4 linked regions of the Arabidopsis thaliana genome follow. The protein of the gene in region 1 binds, or shares a complex with, the protein of each later gene. Each region holds a gene or a part of one and is shown in the gene's direction. Other genes may lie near its edges.

Region 1 (4,854 bases):
AACACAAACTATATATCGATCGCCCCCGTGAGTAGTACGTATTATTATTTCAAAAGTAAATGATTTTGCAGACTTGCAGTTATTCATTTATAAGCGAAACGTTATCTTATGCAATGTTTACATTTGCAACACCAATTAGCTTCTTTTTTTTACAGTTGAGACTTGAGAGACACATTAAAGCTTGTCATCGTTCACTGGAGAGAGTAGAGTGTGTGAGAGACAAAGTGACCTAACTTCACTGCAACAGTAGTCGGTAAATATCCAAACATAAGAGCTACGATGGTAACACGTGTACGGTGGAGGAAAAGAGAGCCCTCAGATTCCGTTATAAAGGAGGTGAGACCCACTCGCCGGAATGGAAACAAAGGAGAAACGTAGAGGTAAATGGTTGGGCCACTGCTTCACCAAAAAGCCTTTTCTATCTTCTTTTTATTTTTGTTTTGTGGCTTTTAACGGTTAACAATATAACTCCTCATTCCAAGACAATTACGTGTCCTCTGTACGGCTTTTTCATTTTTCACTTTCTACTTCATAGTGACTTTAGGGAGGCCTCAATTTTTAATTACTCGAGGATTATTTAGGTAATCATGAATGTAACTACAGCTTTACAGGTAATTAAACAGATGAGATTTAGTTGCGTGAAATCTAGCTGATCTGGTGCTTATATCAAATCCAATTGATGGAGACAGATTTGGACTTAAATTCATGATTGTATTTGTAATCTTATATACGTTATAGTTAAATTTCTTTCTCTCCGTACGTACTCTAACTATAATTATTATTAAATGCTGAACGCAATGCTTTTGAGTGCTGAGAATCTTTTTGGTCTGATTCAAAAATGATGTATTAGTACTCTGAATTCAATCTTAACTTCTGCAACGAATCAATGTATTAATTTATAGGAGATCCGGATAAAATTATGGATATATGCACGCTACTTCTTTCATTTTTAATTAGGTAAATGGTTATAACTTTATTTTATATATCAATTAAATGATTTTGGTATGAGATTACTAGTACACTTTCTTTGCAAATGTTTTAAACACGACAAGACAAAAATATTACAAGCATATTTTGGTAAAAAATATCATAAGCTTTCATATCAAAATCATTAGTTATGATGTTAGATTTTTTTTTTTTTTTTTTAACACTACAAAAAGCTCTGGTCTTAATATGTTAGAAATTTTAGTCCAAACCAGCCTACAGAGGATTTAGCTAAACAATTCCCAAGCACCTTTTAAGTGTTAACCGAAATAACGTAATATGATGTTAAAGGTTACATAAAAACAAAACTAAAGAATTTTCATATGAAAAGTTAACGTACGTGTCTTAGTGTAACCTAATTTTAGTTCACAGTATATAAATTCTTTAATGAGATGATCGCAAAATCGCTGTATACAATTTCGTACTTAATTCGTTAGTCTTGAAAAGTTGACCTAATTTAGATCAAATTAAGGTTAACTACAATAAAAATTTAACTAACGTAATGGGATTCTTTAAAATTAAAAAATCGTTGATTAGATAGATATTTTATCTTTAAGGGAGACACAGAGACAATTTGGACAAAAAAGGTCTTCCTGAGAAAGAAGTGGACCACAATCGTGGCGCGAAAGGAACTTCCTCCTCCCCTCTGTTGCCTTGTCATTGGGCCACGTATATCTCCACCTGATCGTGATGCTTACGTGGTCCATTTCTAGATACTATAGTGACCAGATCAACGGTCAAGATTGATTCTAATTTAGACGAAAGACCAACACGTCACGTCGCTAGAGTAAAAGATTTTTTGAAGGCGGAGGGAGAAAAATCAAAAGTTAAAAGTAATTTGAAAACGAGGAAGAGAAAAAGGAATTTTAAAATGTTTAATGAAGCGGTAGGCCGCATGGGTATATAAATGGGCACGCTTTGTAACGTGTAACGATGATATTTATTCAACTGCGTGGTATAACCAAAAAAAAAAGAAACACTATTCGACTCTTTTTTTGTTTTTGTAATAAACATAAAATAAATTTTGGAGAGAGATATTTCGTCGGAAATTAATTGACGTTCAAAAGATTCGTTACCGGAATATTTAGTAGAGGCGGCGATCGAGTTATGGCGGATATTTGTTATGAAGACGAGACGTCGGCTTGTGAATCAAGACCGTTGTGGTCTAGCCGGAAGTGGAGGATCGGTGTCCAGCGATTCAGGATGTCTCCGTCGGAGATGAATCCCACGGCGTCGACGACGGAGGAGGAGGATAAATCTGAAGGGATTTATAATAAGCGAAATAAACAAGAAGAGTACGATTTTATGAACTGTGCATCGTCGTCACCTTCTCAAAGCTCTCCTGAAGAAGAGAGTGTATCACTTGAAGACAGTGACGTCTCTATCTCCGATGGAAATTCATCGGTTAATGATGTTGCAGTTATTCCGTCGAAGAAGACGGTTAAAGAGACGGATCTGAGGCCGAGATACGGCGTCGCATCGGTGTGCGGGAGAAGAAGAGATATGGAAGATGCGGTTGCGTTACATCCGTCTTTTGTACGGAAACAAACGGAGTTTTCTCGAACAAGATGGCACTATTTTGGTGTTTACGACGGCCATGGCTGTTCTCACGTACGACGCCGTTTTACCCTAATTTGAAAATTTCAAAATTATTGATATATTTACGGTTTTGCCTGATTGAAATATACGATGTCGTTTTTGTAGGTTGCGGCTAGGTGTAAAGAGAGACTTCACGAGTTAGTGCAAGAAGAAGCGTTGTCGGATAAGAAAGAAGAATGGAAGAAGATGATGGAGCGTAGCTTCACACGTATGGACAAAGAGGTTGTTCGTTGGGGTGAAACTGTGATGAGTGCTAATTGTAGGTGTGAGCTTCAAACGCCGGACTGTGACGCTGTTGGATCCACCGCCGTTGTCTCCGTCATTACGCCGGAGAAGATCATTGTTGCGAATTGCGGTGACTCAAGAGCAGTTCTTTGTAGGAATGGTAAAGCAGTACCTCTTTCTACAGATCATAAGGTCAGTCTTTATCTCTTTCTAACTCTTTCTTGATTTGTTTGATTTAGTGGATTTTAACTCTTGTTTACGTTTGAAAATGAACAGCCTGATCGTCCGGATGAGCTGGATCGAATCCAAGAAGCAGGAGGACGAGTGATATACTGGGACGGTGCAAGAGTCTTAGGCGTTTTAGCCATGTCACGAGCCATAGGAGACAATTATTTAAAACCGTACGTCACTTCGGAGCCGGAAGTGACGGTTACGGATCGGACTGAGGAAGATGAGTTTCTGATTCTAGCGACGGACGGGCTATGGGACGTAGTGACGAACGAGGCAGCGTGTACGATGGTGCGCATGTGTCTCAACAGAAAAAGTGGTCGTGGAAGACGGCGAGGAGAAACACAGACTCCGGGGAGGAGGAGTGAAGAAGAAGGGAAAGAAGAAGAGGAGAAGGTGGTGGGGTCAAGAAAGAACGGGAAGAGAGGAGAGATCACGGACAAAGCATGTACGGAGGCGTCAGTATTGCTGACGAAGCTGGCGTTGGCAAAACACAGTAGTGACAACGTAAGCGTCGTCGTTATTGATCTCAGAAGAAGAAGAAAGAGACACGTTGCTTGACACTAATCTCCTCATCACTCTTACTCCACCGTTTTTTGTGTTGTTTAAAATGATTCTTTTACCTTGGGACGAAGGTAGCTCAAATCTTTGAACCCAAAAGAGAGAAAAAAAAAGCATTAGGTCTAAAAAAAAAACCCCGGTTTACTGAAAGCGGTTAAACCGGGTATGGTTGGGTCTTTTTTGTTCTGAACCTTTTTTTCTTGCCTTTTTTCGGTGTGTAATGAACAAACAGAAAAGGAAGCCGGAATGTGTCACTGTCTAGGTGGAATCAGTTCAGAATTCAATTAATAAAAAAGTATGTATATGTTTTCTTGGCTTTTAAAGCAAACCAATTAACTCGGATACGCGTGGTGATCTTTGAGAACATCACCGGGAATTTTCAGTTTGTTGATAAAGATTTTAAAATCTCTATAAACGAGTGGGCCTTTTTGGTGTTGGAAGAAATTCAAAATCTCACGGAAACGAAAAGAGAGAGAAGATAATTGGGAAGAGGACGGAGTACGTGTCGAAGAGGTAAAAGTAGAAACCCTACACCACGTAAAGAGGATGTGACACACCGGAACGATGCATATGTTAATATGCGCATTCGTACGTGTCGGTGTCGGTGTCGGGTAATTGATTGAGATCTGAATATGAACCTAATCAGACTGTTTTATCTAAACATGATCACTGGTCTGATGGAAAATCAAAATTAACTTACCTGTCATGTAATGTAAGAATTTTATTAAGAAGGAAAATCGAACCAACACTCCCAAAGCATTTGGGCCGAGAATTTTGGGGTATTATATTTTCATCTGAATCCTATAAGGCTATAACCTACCCAAAAATTTGGTAGCGCAACATCTAAACTTGATACAGAAAAATGAGACAAGGATATATTAAGCTTCAAATAGATGACCCATACAAAATGTTTTAATTGCCCAACCTAAACACATACTGAGTTGAAGTACCATATGTTTTTTCAAATAGGCCACACGAGCAGCAATTCTAGTCAGACATAATAAACTAAGACACATGAGCGTTGCAGCAACCTGAAAGCAAAATGTTAAAGAAAAGGAGAGGTTGCAGAATAAGACCTCTCTAAGACAAATGTACTCTGCAATCCAAAGTGGCAATTTCACGTTTGTTTCATGTCACCGTTTTCTTTAAGGGTCTTCAGTCTTCTGTACCCCTTGTCAGTACCAAAGATCCTGAAGAACACCAGAGACGAATTATACACTGGATATTAATATCAGGACAACTAAAGATCTGTTCTGG
Region 2 (6,164 bases), on another chromosome or scaffold:
TCTTGGACCATAAGGTTTAATCTGTGATAGCTCTGTTTTGATCCACTAAGGGAATCTGATGTCGAATGTTGTCTATTAGTCTCGTTTATGATTGAAAAGGACTTAGATTTTGAGTTTTGATTTGGTTTTGCAGGAGTGTTGTATATGTTTGGCAAAGTATAAAGACAAAGAAGAAGTAAGGAAGCTTCCATGTTCACATAAGTTTCACTCAAAGTGTGTAGATCAATGGCTTCGTATCATCTCTTGTTGTCCTCTCTGCAAACAAGATCTTCCAAGATGACAAAGCAAATACCCTAAAAGCAACAAAAGCTCAATATAATTTTTTTCTTTCTCAGTTTTTTTTTTTTTTAGTTTTGGATTGAAGCAAAGTCGATTACTTGTGTGAGTGTCAAATTTTTTGTACATAAAGAGCTCACCAGTAATCGTTATGTACATTGTGAGTAGATGATGCAAATCACAATGGCAACAACTTTATAGAATCTTAATATAGTGTTTATACTACATATTTTGTTTTTTCTCTCGTCTCATTTACATATCTTGATGTATATATTTTTTTATATGTTCAATTTTTTTTTTTGCAATTTAAAACTGAAAACCCAAACATTACTTCATTAACTATCAATTAGGATGTCGGTTTTCTTAAAAGAAATATTTTTATAGCATTAACTATATCTCATAAGTATAAAAGTTTTGGACATGGCATCTAAATAGTTGGAGTCTTTGAGATGGTTTTGACTTCAGCTATATAAGTAAGTCTTAGGGTGTTTAATTTAGAGTTTGAATTTTAAGCCTTTGAGTCTGTCAAAACCTAAAATAGGCACAAACCAAACAAAAACAATCAGATGTTTTTTTTTGGTTACAGAATCTTTAAATTAGACTGTTCTAGATTCTCAATTGGCACTAACACAACTAAGTATGTTCCTAATTGGTTGAAAAGTCATAATATTTGTCCTTGCACAAAATGTGTAAACCATAAAAAGAAGAATAAAACCTCCAAGTCAAATATTTTCTACTAATTTACAATAACTCTTTTCTAGAATACTAACCACCAATAACTTAAAAAAGCAGTTTGTCAACAACATCCAACGACTATTTTTAGCTGCCTTCTCTCACAAGTCACTATTATAAATGACCTTTTGGATTCATTAGCAAGAAACAACACAAATCATTCTTTACCTTCATAACAAAAGTCACTATAGAAATTACCTTTTGATTCATTAGCAAGAAACAACAACACAAATTCATTCTTATTTACGTTCGTCAAAACCATGACGAAAGAAAACCCTTCAACCCTAAATCTCGGACAACCTAAGGCACAAGAAAAGTATTCCACAAGTTTAGCCAAGATCAACCCTAAACCCTCCGGTAGCTCTACCGTTGAATCGAAGAGCCAAGACAATAACTCACCTAGTTTAAAACGTTGGAGATCGTCCTCCGGTAAATCTACGAGGCTAAATTGTTTATGTTCTCCGACGACACACGCCGGTTCTTTCAGGTGCAGGTATCACCGCGTTGATTCGTTGACACGTGCCGGGTCTATTGGGTCGAACCTCGCTGTTTTATTGTCGTCCAAGTCGAGCCGGTTTAGTGACTCCCTCAAGGCTCAGTAAACCCGGTTACTGGATTTGTTCGGTATAATAACTGTCGGTTTTGTTATTTGTTTGTTTCTTCTACTTCTTCTTTTGACATTGTTCAATAATTTTTATCGAAAAAGACATTGGTCTGTATTACTAAACCGCTTGAAATCGGCTTAACCCGATTCAAGGTAAACTTTTATCTAATTTTCACCAATTTGATTCAAATTTAAGCATTTATTACATACACATTTTATATGCTTCAAAAATACTTGAAATGAATTTTTCTGTCTACATTTTATATAAAGAAAATATAAAATAATTTTACGAAGTCAGAAATAATACGCAATATAATATATTTTTGCAAATTTATATATATTGTAAACGTTTTGATGATCACATTATTTTTAAAATTTCTGAAGATATAATTGAACTTATCATTTCGGGAGGTTCGATTTTATATGTTACTTGTCAAAAATTTAAAATTTGACAATAGAAAAAAATGGCTATATCACATATTATCTTTGATTTTGTATGATTATTTTGCATTTAACATCGTAAAAAATGTACTAATTTGAAGATTTTTTGAAAACTTAAATTCTCCAATAGCACAATAGATCATATATTCTATGGGTGAATGTGAAATTCAAATTTATGTCCGGTTCAATTCAGCTCGAGTTTTACTTAACCGGAACGAAAATCAAATCGAACCGTATTTTGAAGAATAAAACGACGACGATTTGAGCAGATTTTTCAGGATTTAATTTGTAATAATGCAAAAAGATTGAGTTTTTGTTGTTTGTTGAGATATTTAAAAAGATTCTTCAGGTTTTAATTTGTTTTCCAACTCTCTCCTCTGCTTTACAACAAATCGTCTCCGTCTTCCTCGCTCAGCTTCAACAACCAGAGCCGACTTGAGATTGAGAATCAACGTAATCGGTAAATTTTCGTATACGCAAATCCATTCTACTCATTTTGAGTTCACTTACATATCAAGATTCTTCTATCTCTGTTGAATCTGCGATTCACGAATCCATTAGGACGATTTTTGGGGATCTAGATCGGGTTTTGTTTCTCAGAACCTGTAATTGATTGTGTAATCCTTGAGTTCATTAATGTATAAATTCAAATTTCCCAATTTGGGTTTGTTTCTGATGGATTTTATTAATTTTGTGTGTCCATAAATTGTGATGTTTAAGATTAAAATTTGGTTAATGAGCTTTGATTAAGTCTTTAGATTCTCCATTAATTTTCTTATCTTCTTCAATATTGTATATATTATGTGGACATAACTGAATCATCTGAATAGTAAAATCATGATAATGACTTCAGTTTCTAAGCAATGTTTGTGTTGCCTATATTGACTGACTTATTTAGATTACTCTGAATTTTGCAACTTGTGTTACAGATACTCTCGCAAAGTCTCATCCTTTCTCAGCAAAAAACACTAGGAAATGGTTGAAAGGTACAGTGTTCTTCATATGCTTGCTTCTGTAGAGCTGTTTTTTGAAATTAGCAAAACAAGTTCACAATGTTTTATATGCAGGCATGGAGAGTTTTGATTTGCTGCTTAAGATATATCATGTCGCAGTGCGTTGACGGTATCAAGCATTTATGCACCTCTGTTTTAGGGTGTTTTGATCTTGATTTGTATAAACAATCTGGTGGCCTTGGAGATCCTGAATTGCTTGCAAGAGACACTGTTTGTATGCCCTATCACCTTCTCTACTCTTTTTTTTTTTTTTTTTTTCCGGTTATAAGATTCGATGCAATACCATTTGAGGAATGCAAAAATATTTCTTCTGAAGACTATTGATGATTGAATTTGGTTTTGGAATGCAGTTAGTGTGAGTGAAATAGAAGCTCTTTATGAGCTTTTTAAGAAAATCAGCAGTGCCGTGATTGATGATGGGCTAATAAACAAGGTATAACTCTAACTTGTTTGATCTTCTTCCTCATTTGGTAAAGCTTTAGTGATTGATCTAACAATCTGTCTAATTTACTCATCTCTTGTTTGTATCAGGAAGAGTTTCAGTTGGCTTTGTTTAAGACAAATAAAAAAGAGAGTTTGTTTGCAGATCGGGTAATGTTTCTTTCTTCACATTATAAGTGTTCTTAAACCCATTTTTGTCAAGATCAAGTTTAGAAGAAATGCTGAAATATGTGATTTTGTTTCTAGGTTTTCGATTTGTTTGATACAAAGCACAATGGAATACTGGGGTTTGAGGAATTTGCTCGTGCTCTCTCCGTCTTTCACCCAAATGCGCCTATAGATGACAAAATTCACTGTACGTCCCTTTTAGCTTGTATCTCAAAAACAAGATTGGGATAACACATTAATGATATATACTATTTTTTTGCAGTTTCATTTCAGCTATATGATCTTAAACAGCAAGGGTTTATCGAACGGCAAGAGGTAAAGCTTCCATATCTTCAAATAGCTTCATATATAACCTTGTAGAAGTGCGCTTTATTATCCTCACTGACATTTTCGTCCATCATTTGTCCAGGTGAAACAAATGGTTGTCGCTACGCTTGCTGAATCTGGAATGAATTTGAAGGATACTGTCATTGAGGATATAATCGACAAGGTAAGTTACTTACTTTTTTTCCTCTTCACCCTATATTTTTTCTTTGAAAGTAATTTCCCGAGTTTTGAATGTTTCAGACGTTTGAGGAAGCAGACACAAAACACGATGGAAAGATCGATAAGGAAGAGTGGAGAAGCCTTGTTCTTAGACATCCCAGCCTTCTGAAGAACATGACTCTTCAATATCTCAAGTGAGTTCCAAATCTTTCTATTTATATAACCAGGATTGAATCTATTCAACCAAATTCCTTCTCTGGTTTCTCTTTCTTCTATTCTCCATGATATGTAATAAAGGTCGTGATCCTGTTGTGTGCTTGCTCTGCAGGGATATCACGACTACGTTTCCAAGCTTTGTGTTCCATTCTCAGGTTGAAGATACCTGAAAAAGCAAAAGCAAAAGCAAGCAGCGGCAAGACATCATTGTATTGTTGAAGGTTGTTCTTTCGTTATGGTTCTTTATTTGTTACATTTCTAAATCTCTGAACTCATTTTATTTTTTATTGAGCTTTTTTTGTGAAGCAAAATTCTTCTTTTTAGTTTGGTTTTTGTCCTTTTTGATTTCGCTCGGTCTATCTGTAGATACAACTTTTGCATCTTGATGTTATGGTAATGTAAAGTTTTTCAGTTTATTTATTAATCCAATTAAAAAGATTTGCTTCAATCTCTGTGTTTTGGTTATTAGAGTTAGCTTTTAATATTAATTCAATGGATTTCTAGATTGCAAGCAAAACTAGTCATTTCATATGTGACTTGTAAGCAAAACTAGTCAAAACTGAGTGATGTCACCAGCCCTCCTAATGACGAGTTTTCCGAGATCAGCTCCACAAGAATCAACTTACATGATGACAAAAAGTGGATCTTCGATGAGACGCCATTAGAGAGAAGAGGAGATGATCTTACCAACAAGGGTATACGAAAGCAGAGCTTCGGGGGATGGTTGAGAAGCAGAGACATGAATAATGTTCTTCCAAAAAGAAGAAGAGGTGAGAAAAGGGAAAAAAAACCTAATTGAAGAATTAGCGATTTTCCCTCACCAAGAACCCTACATTAATACAAAAGGAAGTGACTTGCCAATCAAGTTTCCCATCCATTGTAGATGAGGGGAACATTGTGTTTGTAGTAAGGCAATGGAAGAATGACTCATTTATGCTTCAATGACTTCCATGTTCTTTCTTGAGGAGAAGGAAGACCATTCTTCTTGTTTTGCTACACAAGACTGAAATAAGAAACCTCTTCTAAAAGTTCTTCACGCTCCATGTAGACTATCTCTTTCTCCAAGGAGCGCTTTTCATTTAGAAAAAGCAACTTTTACTCTTCATCTTATCTTCGGCCATACTAGACGCAAACTCAACTTCAAGATCAAACAGTGCTTCTAAAGCCAACTCAACTCAATAGCCATACTTCATGCCGTCTCTTCAGCTTTTTTATCTTTCAAAGGAATATTTCATTAATATGATTTAGTTTTTATTTTATATACATCATTTTGACATATATATTTTTGAAAATTAATTTTATGCTTTAAACCACAAAAAAGTTTAAGTTTGGACCTTTCACATTTAGGTTTCAATTATTGTCTACATGTTTTCATAACTATATTCACACAAATAACTAAAATCTCCTCATAGAAAAAAGATTAATTGGTTTGAAAGAATAAAAAGAGTATAAAAGATTATTTTTCTATGGTTAAAAAATATGAGAGATTTGCCTTGGAAACGATAGTTAAAATTCAAAGAAACTAAGCTTGATATAACTACAAGTTTCGTACATAAAAATGTCGAAATTGTTAGATGTAATGAAGCCAACTTTAGCTTGAAGCCTCACCATGTAATGTTTTATCTCGCCGGAGAAAAAAAAATTCATTTATCGGTGAAATTAATTTATAAGACCAACTAAAACATCAAGCACATTAGATCTATTAATGATTGATTAATGTTAATGTGCTTTTAAAATTGAATAAAACACATGATCAATCATATTTTTAGCGTATAAAAAATAAATCA
Region 3 (5,437 bases), on another chromosome or scaffold:
CAACAGTTTCTTCAAAGAAGTGAACAAGTTCTTACAATCTTTCATTTTCCTTTTTTTGTTATGCAATAATCTGTGAATCAGTGAAAGTTTATCTCTACTGAACTACTGATCTTCAGATTTTGTAATCTTTCTGCTTTAAAAATCTCTATGAAGTAGTCTCAAAGATAATGTATCGAAGGTCTTTGACTTGTAAAGCAGACCTATTTCGTTTTGACGCTTGATAATTTAATCAATAAGAGATTTTATTTTTTTTAATATGCTTTCTACTGTTAATACATCATCAAATAGTAGCGTTTCCAGATGGATGTTTGTGAAAAGTCATCAAGTAAGTCATATTTGTGAATTAATCAAAACCGCACTTCATCAACCAACCAACCAACCTCCAAAGAATTTGGGCTTCAGTACTAACGTCCTTTAAGGGTGTAACACATTACTGCTCTGCTCTTATTGCCGCAACTAATTTGACTCAATTTTAAGTACAAAATGGACCATTAAACTGTTGTCACTTGTCAGGACCACCGGCCCAAAATTAGTAGGGACCTTAGGACAGTTTGATATTAGTCTTTTAGTAAAAAAAAAGTTTTTTTTGTTTATCTATAAGAAAATACAATATTTTTTTAATAGATCTTAATTTTCTAAAATATCAACAGTCTATGTTTATTTTTGTGTCTGATTTAAAAAAAATTAGTTAGTTATCAAAACTTAAAACAAAAATATTAGGTCCAGGACTTTGGCATCTCCCACTTTCTTGAAAAACATGGATACTGTATGGACCTTCTTGTTTACTATTGTCATAATCTTTTTTCTCATAATCTTTTTACTATACTCATAATCTCTCCTCCTCATAATACATCTCCCACTTTCTTAACACCTCATAAGTCTTCTCATAATCTTTTTACTATCATAAAAGTTTCTGCTTGTATTGGAATGAAAGAATTTGACCATTTAATTTGGAATTCTAAACCCAATATAAAATTATAAACCACTCTTACTAGAGCCAGGATCCCAGTTTCAAATTTAATATACGTAACATGCATGATTTGGCCATGTCTTATGGATATGCTAATCCATTTCTTTTTTTTAGGCGAACATTATATAGTTTACATTATTGGATTGTTGGATGGCGTACGTACTTAATTAGTTTCAAAATTTGATAATATACATGATTAGATCATGTCTTATGGTTTATATAAAAGTAATTATGTTAATCCATAATTCTTATTTAGACCGCCTTTATACTATTGGATTTTTGTTTGTCCTACGTGATTGATTAGACTACTAAAATGTGACCAGAATTATTATAATTCTTCGTTTATCCCAAAAGGTATATGACCCATATTGAAATTATTATCAAACACACTCTACATGAATCTTGAATATATAGATAAATACAGTAATTAGTCCCCTTGCTAGTTGGGTTATCATATTAATATTTATTTATTGCAAGATCTTGAAGACTATGAGATCTTGACATCTGTATGGATTATGAAAATGAAAGATCCAATTTGAAAATTATATCTTATACAAATAAATATCATTCTTAGTATCTTTTGAGTATGTTAAATCTTGACTCTACAAGTACTAGTTACCTCTCTACACTTTTTTTTTCTTACAGTTATAAACTTACATAAAAACAAAATTCGAGTCTAAATATTTTTCTTTTAATAAAAAAACAAAAACAAAACAAAATCATTGCAGAATTGTAAGAAAACTTGTAAAAATGATTAACTTTCTTAACCAATAAAAAAGGAAAGTTGAAAGTTGAAATTTCGAAACTAAAATGTCAAACAACAATAATGGCTTTGTTTTCTTCCCACACTGTAATAAAAATAAAATAAAAATGGGGTTGGTAGAAAAAAAGAGGTAAAAATGACAAGGATGTGTTTCACACGCGTTCAGACCCTCACACGTGCGACGATCATGTTATAAACAAACTCTCTCATAATTTCCCCAATCGGAGGCCTCTGACGAACAAAAAAAGCCCAGCAAAGTCTGAAGTTAATCTCAGCCGTCCGATCAATTCATCTACCATCGTGGTCAGAGATCTTCTTCTTCGTCTCTCTCTCGTTTCTCAAAAATCAAAATCCCTTCCTCTCTCTCTCTCACCGAGCCGGCGAGCCCGTTCTCTCGGTGGTAAGTGCTCAATTTTTCGATTTCACCATTCAGTTTCTGGGTTCGGAGATTCTCGAGCCGCTCCTACATTACCTGTTTAATTTCCGATTTAATATTCAAAATTTTGTTAATCTGAATTCGATTGCCACATAGCTGCTGCTTATTTTTTCTAGGGTTTATACTTATTCAATTATCGTGTTCGTCTTTTAATTCAATTTTTGTTGGGTTTTGTTTTTGATTGAATCATTGTAGTTTTTAAAGATGCTTATGATGATGATGGGGAGTGAGTAATATCAGAAATCAAGCTTTTTCACAATCTCAGAAATTGTAGTAGAGTTTGGCGATTTTATCAACCTCCGGAACAAGCTTCTTCTTCTTCGTTTTACTCTTGTCATCCGTAAATGGGTTGTTTCCATTCCACGGCTGCCAGAGAATTTCCCGATCACGAAAACCCTGTGAAGCTTGCTTCTGAGACTGCTTGTAAGTTTACTTGCACTATACGTTTCGTTTTCTCTTCTTTGCTTTATTCTCAAAGAGCATGAGCATAAAGATCTCTCTTTTATCAATTGTTAACTGATATGAGAATCTGTTTTCGCCATTTATTGAATCCGAAAAATGGTTCTTTCATTCATAATCTATTTGATCTACAACTTTGTTAAATGATGCTTGTTGTTACTTAAGTCATCACATAAACCTATTTCAATAGTTTCTTGGATCATTAGTGTAGTTTACTTCTACTTTCAAATGGAATCTTAATCAGAGAAAGTTTTCAAGAACCATCACTTTCGATTTTTGTTTTGGTGATATACATGATGTTGATGAGAAATCTCGCAGTGTGGCTAATTATTTGTTTGTTTTTCTAGTTAGTGTTAGTGAAGTTGAAGCATTGTATGAATTGTTCAAGAGCATAAGCAGCTCGGTTGTTGACGATGGCTTGATAAACAAGGTAATGATAAATCTCATAGCCCTTTGATTATTTCGCACCTCATGGGAGAATCTTGAATGCGTGATGTACAGTGACATAATAATATTCATTGCACCATTATCCATATTCCGTATTATTTGTCAACTTTCTTGACTTTCACAAATTTATTATTGAATCTCCATGCTGAGCTGTGGGCTCCTTATTGCTCACCAAGTCTCTGTGTTGATGATAGTTGACTTGAATTTTAATTCCATTTTTTATATTGGTTTGCTTATAAAAATTGATGTTTTCTTGGCCCACTCTTGGATATTGTTACTTATTTTCTCGACCAACTTGTTATGCAGGAAGAGTTTCAACTTGCTTTGTTCAAGAACAGAAAGAAAGAAAATTTGTTTGCCAATAGGGTAAATTCTAAGTTTCTTTGGCCTTAGTAACTTTGTAGTTAGTCGTAACGATTAGTTCTATTATAAGTAGTTAATGGTAATGCTCTTTTTTCCAGATATTTGATTTATTTGATGTTAAACGAAAAGGCGTAATTGATTTTGGAGACTTTGTGAGATCACTCAATGTTTTCCATCCTAATGCTTCCCTAGAGGAGAAAACAGACTGTAAGTTGACCCATAAACGAGTTTATATCCATCGTCGTTTCTCTAAAGCCTTGCTGTACTTTTATTCATGTTATTCTGTATTTCATATATCAGTTACCTTTAGGCTTTACGACATGGACTGCACAGGCTTCATTGAGCGCCAAGAGGTAAACAATGGTCCTATATCTTCACATTCCATTCCCAAACAATCTATGTTTCAAAGACTTTCAGTATTATGGATTCTGCATCATCTATAAGTAATCATAATTGTGTATGCGTTTTTGGCAGGTGAAGCAGATGTTGATTGCACTTCTCTGCGAATCTGAAATGAAACTGGCTGATGATACAATAGAGATGATACTTGATCAGGTTTACTTGTTGTCTATTACAAGTTTGTTTTCTGTCAAAAGAAAGACTGTTTTATGAAACTCGAGTTTTTTTTTCTTTTCGTGAACAGACATTTGAGGACGCAGATGTGGATCGGGATGGAAAGATTGATAAGACAGAATGGAGCAATTTCGTTATCAAAAACCCATCTTTGCTTAAAATCATGACTCTTCCGTATCTCAGGTATGTCTCCTTACTATGATACTTCCATCTATTTGGCCAGTTTTGGTGCCATTTTCCAAGTTTGAGGACTTAAAAACTCAATTTTAGGGATATAACGACGACATTTCCGAGTTTCGTATTTAACTCGGAGGTGGACGAGATTGCGACGTGAAAGAGACAAGACAAGCTGGTTTATAGAGACCAAGTCGTAGGCTGGACCAAGAATAAAAAGAAGATTGATTCCAACAATGTTATATAGCAGGATCGAGCTCTATTTCCTTTGGAATTTTTAGTCTATTGGATTTCAATTTCATGTATTGCGATTACTTTTGGCTCTCTTTCTTTAACAGTTTTGAATACTCAAGTTGTAGTTCTACGAAAAGATTAATATAAAACCACAATTTCTGATTAAAGATTTGATTTTGCTCATAAATTATTCCAACACTTTATGTTTTATGTAACGAGAAATCAAAGTCAAATATGCTTAGACAGAAGAAATTAGCCATATAAATCAATTTATTATTATTAAGGGAATTGAAAACTTCAAAAATACCAAAATGAAACTAAAATTATAATCAAACCAGACCTGAATTTATTGTAACCGATAAATCCGAATTGACGTGTGTGGTGCCGGCTTTGAGATGAAGACAGACCAATGATGATCCCAGTAGCTAAAGAACTCAAGCGGATTCAGACATTCCATGCTGTGGAGTGATTCTCTCTAATCCCCCTGTACGGCGACGCTTTTACATATCCTCCATGTTCTTTGACTACAAAAGCCAAGTTTGAGGATCATTTAGTTGAAACTCAAGAGTTCAGACAAGAATCATTTGTATGAAACTCAAGAGTTGATACCAAAAAGAAATTTCTCACGGAAGATGACACTTCCCCTGGCACAATCTAGATGAGCGTGATAGTGGGACGTTGTCCATATCTAAAAAAAGAAAAATGGCATGGTATAGAGAATCCCGGAAATACGGAGAAGAGGTTAATCTGTTGTATAACCGCAGATTCGACCTCGGATTAGTACTGTATTGTACTCTATAATTGCGCTTAACTCGCAAGTTTATGTTCATGGTTTTTTTTTTCCTTTTAACTCTGTGTGTGCACTTATCCTCCATACTATGGGTGTGATTGGTAACATGAGTTACCATGAGTTATATATGCTTGCACAAGTGATCTATCTTCTACACCTAGCCACATACGTTTATGTTAATGGTACACCTTAAAAATTTGTGTATTATAATGGAAGAAAAACTTAGTT
Region 4 (7,103 bases), 8.4 Mb from region 1:
ATTGAAGTGAATTAATTTTATTGAACGGTTTAGATTGAATCGGATCATATAAAGTTTAGGAGGTTGTTAATACCAAATTACCCTTAATGATTTTGAATATCAGAGAACAAAATCCAAAATTGAAATCAAAATTGAGGCCAAATTAAACAAACTTTCAATTTGTACTTCCCTTAAAATAATAAAGGGATATTAGTTATCATCCGAGAAACCTGGCGAGTATATGTTCTCACTGAAATATATGTTTTAATCACAAGAGAAACATCAACCAAGTTTATACTATGTCTGAAATAAATGTAGTCATATATGACAAATATACAGATAATACAACGTTATTTTACGTTATTTTTTTTTTCTTTTACCGTTAAAGTTCAAAATTTAATTACTAATGATGAACTTTTAAATATATTTACGTATAAAATAATCAAACATAGATTTAAAATAATTGTGACTATATGTCTCAAGTACAGTTAACTCGACCGATTAAAAAGATTATTATTGTTTGATTCTTATTAGAATTGAATTTTGGTGTTATGTTCTTTTTGTTAAAGGGTTTAGTTTTGGTATTATTAGGTTAGAAAGAGATATTGTACGCTTTGTAAAATCATTTTAATTAAGCAAATAATAATGTCTTGGTTGCCTCCAACAGACACTCGAACATGATTGTTTCTGTTAACTTCCGTTAATTTAGTTTTCTGATCACAAACACGAACTCGTGGGTCGGTTTATTTTTATTTCCGAGGTCAAATATTATAATGACTGACCGGGAATATACTTTCTTGATAAGAAAGTCATTATTTACACATTAGGGTTTTTAAGAGATTAAATATAATTTTCAATCTAAAGCATCTGCAATGATCATCAACTGAAGAAAATTATGATGAAAAGATTTGAGAATTTACATTCAACGACTAAACGAGTATGAATATATATGAATCAGATAACTTTTATTTTTAAAAATATGCATCATGATGGTCATGGCCTCATGGGCTATCAATTGTAAAGTCAAACCCTTTCAAGAAAACGTGGCAAGGTCATGTGTATGTACATTTGCCCACCAATGATTTGGTTCTATTGTTTTATGCTAATACGATGATTATTAGATAACATTCTCTTTGATGAGCACCATAAAAATCAGAAACTAGGTTTAAACTATTTTGGGTTGAAAAAACAAGTATAACTAGTTAGGTTGATAACTGTATACTGTATTTATAATAGAGCATTATTTCTTATAGAAACACAAACACATATATAATCTAGACAGAAGATTCTAAACATTTGATCGAACCATCGAAAATTTAATGTTTAATGGTTTGTATCATTAAGTGCCCCTTTTGTGAAACATTTAGTATTGAAAAGGGCACGTAGCTCCTTGATACTGGTAACGGCTTTTCCATAACATCAAAAGTTCAATTGGACGTTTCAAATCTAATCAATAGTATTTATTAGAGTAAATAAAAGATCCTCTTACGTTTTATAAATCTTATAAGTACACATGTTTGGAATCTCGGAGTATAAAAAGATACTTGGATAAGTGATGGCAGCTAATTGGATAAGTGGTGGACTTAGTTCAATATTTTTATTAAAAGTTTGCATATATATATATATATATATATATATATATATTTTAATAATTAATATTAATTAGAATTTAATTGAGCAATTTCGAGAATATTATTTAAGTTAGGTAAGAATTTTTTTGTACTAATTTATCTGTTTTTATTTTTACGAGAAATTAAAGATAAAGAAAAATTTATAAATTCTTTACTGTCGTTCTTTAACTCTTTTGAAATCGTTGATTATTCGGTTGGAGAAAATATCATATTTTTTATTTTCTTTTTCGAAATTTTGTTTTAAAAAATTATGACAGCTAATTACACGGCATGTAAAAAAGTAAAATATTTACTTTTATTTATATTTGATAAAAAAGGATGACATAATTTTCTGTAATCACCATAAGTCCATAACGTTTGCATTTAAATTATCAAAGACTAAGATAAGCCTAGAATAATTTAAAATGTAAACTATAGTATACGTCAGAACCTACAGATACAACCTTCCTCGTATAATCCCTAAACAGAATTTTAATTAAACATTTCCTTAACTAATTTACTTCTTAATTTAACTTTTAAATTCCTTCCACCATCGAATCACAATCTCTCTCTCTCTCGCTTGCTGTTACTCGCTTTTTCCCAGAACCGGCTTCGATTTTTCTAAAGCAGCCGAAATTTACGATTCCCAGAATTTTCCCTACTGACAAAATTTCACTTCAAATACAAATCTCGTCTTCATGAGTCTTCTTCTTCGTCCAAATTGAATTTTCTCCGCACACGAGAGTTGAATTTTGATTTTCGGCTGTTTATATGGTCTCCGGTCCCTTAGGGTTTTAATTCTTCTGCAGATCTCTCACGATGAGCGTTGCGAAATCCCAAGTATGGCAGCCATGCAAGAAGAAGAGGTCCTCCTCCTGATTCAATAGAGATCTATCTATATATATATAAGAGACCGAGATATATATATAGAGAGAGAGATGGCTTCTCGAACAACGCCTTCACGATCGACTCCTTCACGATCAACGCCTTCTGGTAGTTCTTCTGGTGGTAGGACACGAGTTGGTAAGTATGAGCTTGGACGAACTTTGGGTGAAGGAACTTTCGCTAAGGTCAAATTCGCTAGAAATGTTGAGAATGGTGATAATGTCGCTATTAAGGTTATTGATAAAGAGAAAGTTCTGAAAAATAAGATGATCGCTCAGGTATGTATTATACAATTCTCCAGCTGCTGTGTTCTTATTGGGAATCTGATTTACGCAGTTGTGATATAACCTTTGATTTTGGATTTTGTAGATCAAGCGTGAGATTTCGACGATGAAATTGATCAAGCACCCGAATGTCATTCGTATGTTTGAGGTTTGATTCTGATACTATAAAGCTGAATTCAAAGTTGTGTTGCACGTTTTGGTTGTTGTTGTTGTTCTATAGATTTGTGCTATAAGCTGAGATTCGTTTGAAGTTATGGAACATATTTGTGGTCCCTGGCTAATCATATGTATGTAATATAAGGGATTTGATTATTCTATGTATTTTTTTGGTATCTTTGTAGTTACAGATTCTCTTCTTCTTCTTCTTCTTCTTCTTCTTCTTCTTCTTCTTCTTCTTCTTCTTCTTCTTCTTCTTCTTCTTCTTCTTCTTCTTCTTCTTCTTCAGGTGATGGCTAGCAAAACTAAGATCTACTTCGTTTTGGAATTCGTCACTGGTGGGGAGCTTTTCGATAAAATTGTAAGATTTCATTGAAAGATGTGTTTTTTTTTTCTTAATACTATGTGGAAATGAGATCTTAATTCTTTAGAATTGTCATGTATTAGTCAAGCAATGGGAGATTGAAGGAAGATGAGGCGAGGAAGTATTTCCAACAGCTGATTAATGCGGTTGATTATTGTCATAGCAGGGGAGTTTATCATAGAGACCTTAAGGTTAGGAATCTTACTTTGTGATCCTCTTGCATAGGGTTTCTTGTGAATCAATTGGCATCAGAATAAAAGTTTGATGTGTTTGAATCATGTTGCACATTCTGGTTGCAGCCAGAAAATTTGCTTTTGGATGCTAATGGTGCTTTGAAAGTGTCTGACTTTGGATTGAGCGCTCTACCTCAGCAAGTTCGAGTGAGCATCGAGATATTGATTTCTTTTTCTATCATTTCATTGTAAATATCATAGTTCGATAATTCAGCTACTATGGCTTCTAAGGAGAAAGATTTCCATGATTTATTCAAAAGCTGATTTTGTGACCCTTTTTCTTTAGGAGGATGGGTTACTTCACACAACCTGTGGAACACCCAATTATGTTGCTCCGGAGGTATTAGCAACTGCTACTGAAAACTGACACACAATTTTCTCAAAACTTGAATTCTATTATTTTCTAGTCTCAGTAACCTTCTATATTTTCTCCCTAGGTAATCAACAACAAAGGTTATGATGGAGCGAAGGCTGATTTGTGGTCTTGTGGAGTAATTCTCTTTGTTTTAATGGCTGGTTATTTACCTTTTGAAGATTCTAACCTGACGTCGTTATATAAAAAGGTATTACGCTTGCCTCTTCTTCTTTTGCTTTTCTTTTGATACATATCATTTTACATGCTATCAGAAAGGCTTCAAGGTCTAGGTGCATTTGGGTGGCTGTATAAAAGCCTCTGTCATTTTTGTATGAGACGTATATAGCATAAAAGCCACCTGATTTTCTTTCTTCATAATTACAGATATTCAAAGCAGAATTTACTTGCCCTCCCTGGTTCTCTGCAAGTGCTAAGAAGTTAATCAAAAGAATTCTGGATCCCAATCCAGCAACGGTATATTTTTCTTACCCTATTATATAATTTATATTAGAGGATCTCTCCTTTGAAGAGGCAAAAGCTTCTATAGGATTGAGTAGATCTGAAGGCTTACACTGATTTTTTATATTGGGCAGAGGATTACATTTGCTGAGGTCATTGAAAATGAGTGGTTTAAAAAAGGGTATAAAGCACCTAAATTTGAGAATGCTGATGTCAGCCTTGATGATGTTGATGCAATCTTTGATGACTCAGGGGTAAGGCTAGTGTTCTTTTGTTTGTTTTTTTCGGTACTTTGTCCGGGATGATTGCTCAGTTGTTTTTGTTTGTTAATAGGAGTCTAAGAATCTTGTTGTGGAGAGGCGAGAAGAAGGACTCAAAACACCAGTAACGATGAATGCTTTTGAGCTCATCTCGACATCCCAGGGTCTCAATCTCGGTTCACTTTTCGAAAAACAAATGGTACAGAAGTCTGATACGTAAAGCTGGTCTTTAAATTTCGTCCCCCAAGGCTCTTATTTTGTTGACAATTTTTAACTATCTTTTTGCGGTTTTGGTCAAACCTAATAAGAAGTAGCTTTGCCACAAAATTTTAGTGACCAATACTTTTCTTTGGAAGCCCGTACTTAGTTTGATAGAAGTCGTCATTCTGATTGATAAGCTTCTCTGATTTCAGGGGCTGGTGAAACGAAAAACTCGATTTACTTCCAAATCTTCGGCTAATGAGATAGTTACAAAAATTGAGGCTGCGGCAGCACCTATGGGGTTTGATGTCAAGACAAATAACTACAAGGTTAGAATACTGTTACGTATTTACCCAATGCTGTGGAGTTGTGTATTGGTTTGTTGCTTCTGAATAGACCCTTTAACCATTTCTCAACTCCTTCAGATGAAGCTGACAGGAGAGAAATCAGGCCGCAAGGGTCAGTTGGCAGTTGCCACTGAGGTTAGCTTTCACAATGACCAGTGATCACCCTTTGTATGGTTGGCTGAACCTAATTTAAGTTAATTGACATCTACCTTCAGGTTTTTCAAGTTGCTCCATCTCTTTACATGGTTGAAATGCGAAAATCAGGGGGTGACACATTGGAATTCCACAAGGTATGCAAGGGTTATTAATGCTGATCAGGTTGTATCAAACCCGAGCTTGTCAAATGGTCTTCCAGTAACTGATGTTTGAATCTTTACCTTTTTGCATCCTTTCTTGCTCTTCTTTTAGTTTTACAAGAACCTTACCACGGGACTTAAGGACATTGTTTGGAAAACCATCGACGAAGAGAAAGAGGAAGGAACCGATGGTGGTAAGTATCTGCCTTGAATACTCTGTTTTTTAGATAAAGCTCCTAGAAAAGGAGAAACTAACGAAACATGTAAACACAAATCCTGTTTTGTTTCTTCATGTTTCAGGTGGTACTAATGGTGCCATGGCTAACCGGACAATTGCAAAACAGTCGACATAAGCTGTTTACTTTTTTCTAATATAGATTTTGTTCGTTATAAATTACTATAGTAGTACGGAGTGGTTTTGAAGTTAATACAAAAGGAAGCGTCAAGAAGTGGAGCAGAAGCAGTTTGAAACTATATTGGGGAATGGGGATTATTGATATTTTAATCATGTTTGATTCCATGGAATGTTGTGAATAGCATATGCGTGTTGCGAGGTTCTTGGCTTGAATCGATTAACCGGAAAGTAAAAGCTTTACAGATTTGGTTTTGCAATTTCTATATTGTCGGACGCTGAGATTCGATAGATATTTCAGTTCAAATGTACTGAAAACAAACTAACACTTGTGTGTGAACCAAATCGAAATTTATTTTCATAATTTTAAAACCTGAAAAAGGAAAGCGGACTGAAAACCAATATCAGTGTAGACAAAACAAACTGAATATATAGCATGACTTGAAGTTAGTGAGATTTTAAAACCAAAATCAAGGAAAGAAAAATATCAATAAAGATTATGTCGGACCAAATACTATAACAAAAATTTAGAGATGGAAAACTTGGTGGCCAAGTTACTCTGTATTAATAATTGAGGGCGAAGAAGATGTGAACAAGAACACCAATTCTTCAATTAGGGGTTTTGTTATTCTTCTGTATTACTCTCTTGTTTATTGCTAAGAAACAGGTAAGGCTGTAGCTAAGAGTGTGGAGGAGGAGGAGGTTGGTCTTCATAATTTGGAAACAACTAATGTGGATGTGGATGAGGAGTTTGTTCCTCACAGTTTGGATGAAGCTAAGGCTGTTGTGGATGTTGTAGATGTGGAGGAGGAGGTTGGTCCTGTTGGTTTAGAAACAGCTAAGGCTGTTGTGGATGTGGAGAAAGAGTTTGGTCCTCGTGGTTAGTGGCGGAGGCAAAGTTTTTCTTCATGGGGGTCATTTTATATATATATATAAAGTATAAATTGTTTCAAAATAAAACTAAATAGTCTATTTTTTAATTGAAATATATATATATATATAGTTTTAGAAATGTTTCACTTTTCAATTAGAATATGCATGTTCTTCATTTTTTTTTGGTTTTCAGTTGTATTAAGTATTTTTTATCCTCAAAATATTGTTTTTCTATCAAAATGTTTAGTATAATGTGGAGATTGATTAGTTGTTGTGTTTACCTTGATCTATGATTTTTTAATTAAAGAGATCGAATGAATATGAAAGATGTTACAGATTTTTAGCCAACAAAAATGAAAAATCAAAACTAAAGTTGTGGAAAATGAATATGTATGGGGTCAAATACAGAAATTGATCACATGACATGGGGGTCATTCTATAAACTTAAC

What was found.
Region 2: HAI2 (region 1) and CBL2 share a complex: the UniProt entries of both Arabidopsis thaliana proteins name them as parts of the K(+)-channel calcium-sensing kinase/phosphatase complex.
Region 3: HAI2 (region 1) and CBL9 share a complex: the UniProt entries of both Arabidopsis thaliana proteins name them as parts of the K(+)-channel calcium-sensing kinase/phosphatase complex.
Region 4: HAI2 (region 1) and CIPK23 share a complex: the UniProt entries of both Arabidopsis thaliana proteins name them as parts of the K(+)-channel calcium-sensing kinase/phosphatase complex.

What each region holds. Positions count from the first base shown.
Region 1 is NC_003070.9:2,279,894-2,284,747, reverse strand, and holds HAI2 (highly ABA-induced PP2C protein 2), read left to right. Parts: upstream 1-1,919; 5' UTR 1,920-2,091; coding exon 2,092-2,595; intron 2,596-2,688; coding exon 2,689-3,000; intron 3,001-3,084; coding exon 3,085-3,597; 3' UTR 3,598-4,002; downstream 4,003-4,854. Other genes in the region: SMO2-1 (sterol 4-alpha-methyl-oxidase 2-1), read right to left, coding at 4,715-4,787. UniProt on the Arabidopsis thaliana protein: Involved in the negative regulation of the K(+) potassium channel AKT1 by its dephosphorylation, antagonistically to CIPK proteins (e.g. CIPK23). Functions as a positive regulator of abscisic acid-mediated cell signaling during seedling growth.
Region 2 is NC_003076.8:22,669,033-22,675,196, forward strand, and holds CBL2 (calcineurin B-like protein 2), read left to right. Parts: upstream 1-2,080; 5' UTR 2,081-2,513; intron 2,514-2,982; 5' UTR 2,983-3,039; intron 3,040-3,120; 5' UTR 3,121-3,156; coding exon 3,157-3,280; intron 3,281-3,416; coding exon 3,417-3,499; intron 3,500-3,597; coding exon 3,598-3,657; intron 3,658-3,753; coding exon 3,754-3,862; intron 3,863-3,937; coding exon 3,938-3,990; intron 3,991-4,084; coding exon 4,085-4,165; intron 4,166-4,242; coding exon 4,243-4,355; intron 4,356-4,489; coding exon 4,490-4,547; 3' UTR 4,548-4,598; exon of another isoform or gene 4,599-4,823; intron 4,824-4,881; 3' UTR 4,882-5,068; downstream 5,069-6,164. Other genes in the region: AT5G55970 (RING/U-box superfamily protein), read left to right, coding at 134-280; AT5G55980 (serine-rich protein-like protein), read left to right, coding at 1,269-1,610. UniProt on the Arabidopsis thaliana protein: Acts as a calcium sensor. CBL proteins interact with CIPK serine-threonine protein kinases. Binding of a CBL protein to the regulatory NAF domain of a CIPK protein lead to the activation of the kinase in a calcium-dependent manner.
Region 3 is NC_003076.8:19,128,804-19,134,240, reverse strand, and holds CBL9 (calcineurin B-like protein 9), read left to right. Parts: upstream 1-1,936; 5' UTR 1,937-2,133; intron 2,134-2,364; 5' UTR 2,365-2,513; coding exon 2,514-2,592; intron 2,593-2,975; coding exon 2,976-3,058; intron 3,059-3,381; coding exon 3,382-3,441; intron 3,442-3,536; coding exon 3,537-3,645; intron 3,646-3,738; coding exon 3,739-3,791; intron 3,792-3,912; coding exon 3,913-3,993; coding exon of another isoform or gene 3,994-4,050; exon of another isoform or gene 4,051-4,081; coding exon 4,082-4,194; intron 4,195-4,281; coding exon 4,282-4,345; 3' UTR 4,346-4,601; downstream 4,602-5,437. Other genes in the region: LIL3:2 (Chlorophyll A-B binding family protein), read left to right, coding at 1-23. UniProt on the Arabidopsis thaliana protein: Acts as a calcium sensor involved in abscisic acid (ABA) signaling and stress-induced ABA biosynthesis pathways. Contributes to the regulation of early stress-related CBF/DREB transcription factors.
Region 4 is NC_003070.9:10,652,743-10,659,845, forward strand, and holds CIPK23 (CBL-interacting protein kinase 23), read left to right. Parts: upstream 1-2,057; 5' UTR 2,058-2,527; coding exon 2,528-2,752; intron 2,753-2,843; coding exon 2,844-2,906; exon of another isoform or gene 2,907-3,045; intron 3,046-3,203; coding exon 3,204-3,275; intron 3,276-3,361; coding exon 3,362-3,469; intron 3,470-3,577; coding exon 3,578-3,658; intron 3,659-3,797; coding exon 3,798-3,851; intron 3,852-3,948; coding exon 3,949-4,074; intron 4,075-4,250; coding exon 4,251-4,340; intron 4,341-4,459; coding exon 4,460-4,579; intron 4,580-4,658; coding exon 4,659-4,784; intron 4,785-4,998; coding exon 4,999-5,115; intron 5,116-5,211; coding exon 5,212-5,268; intron 5,269-5,348; coding exon 5,349-5,423; intron 5,424-5,541; coding exon 5,542-5,623; coding exon of another isoform or gene 5,624-5,640; exon of another isoform or gene 5,641-5,729; coding exon 5,730-5,782; 3' UTR 5,783-6,158; downstream 6,159-7,103. UniProt on the Arabidopsis thaliana protein: CIPK serine-threonine protein kinases interact with CBL proteins. Binding of a CBL protein to the regulatory NAF domain of CIPK protein leads to activation of the kinase in a calcium-dependent manner.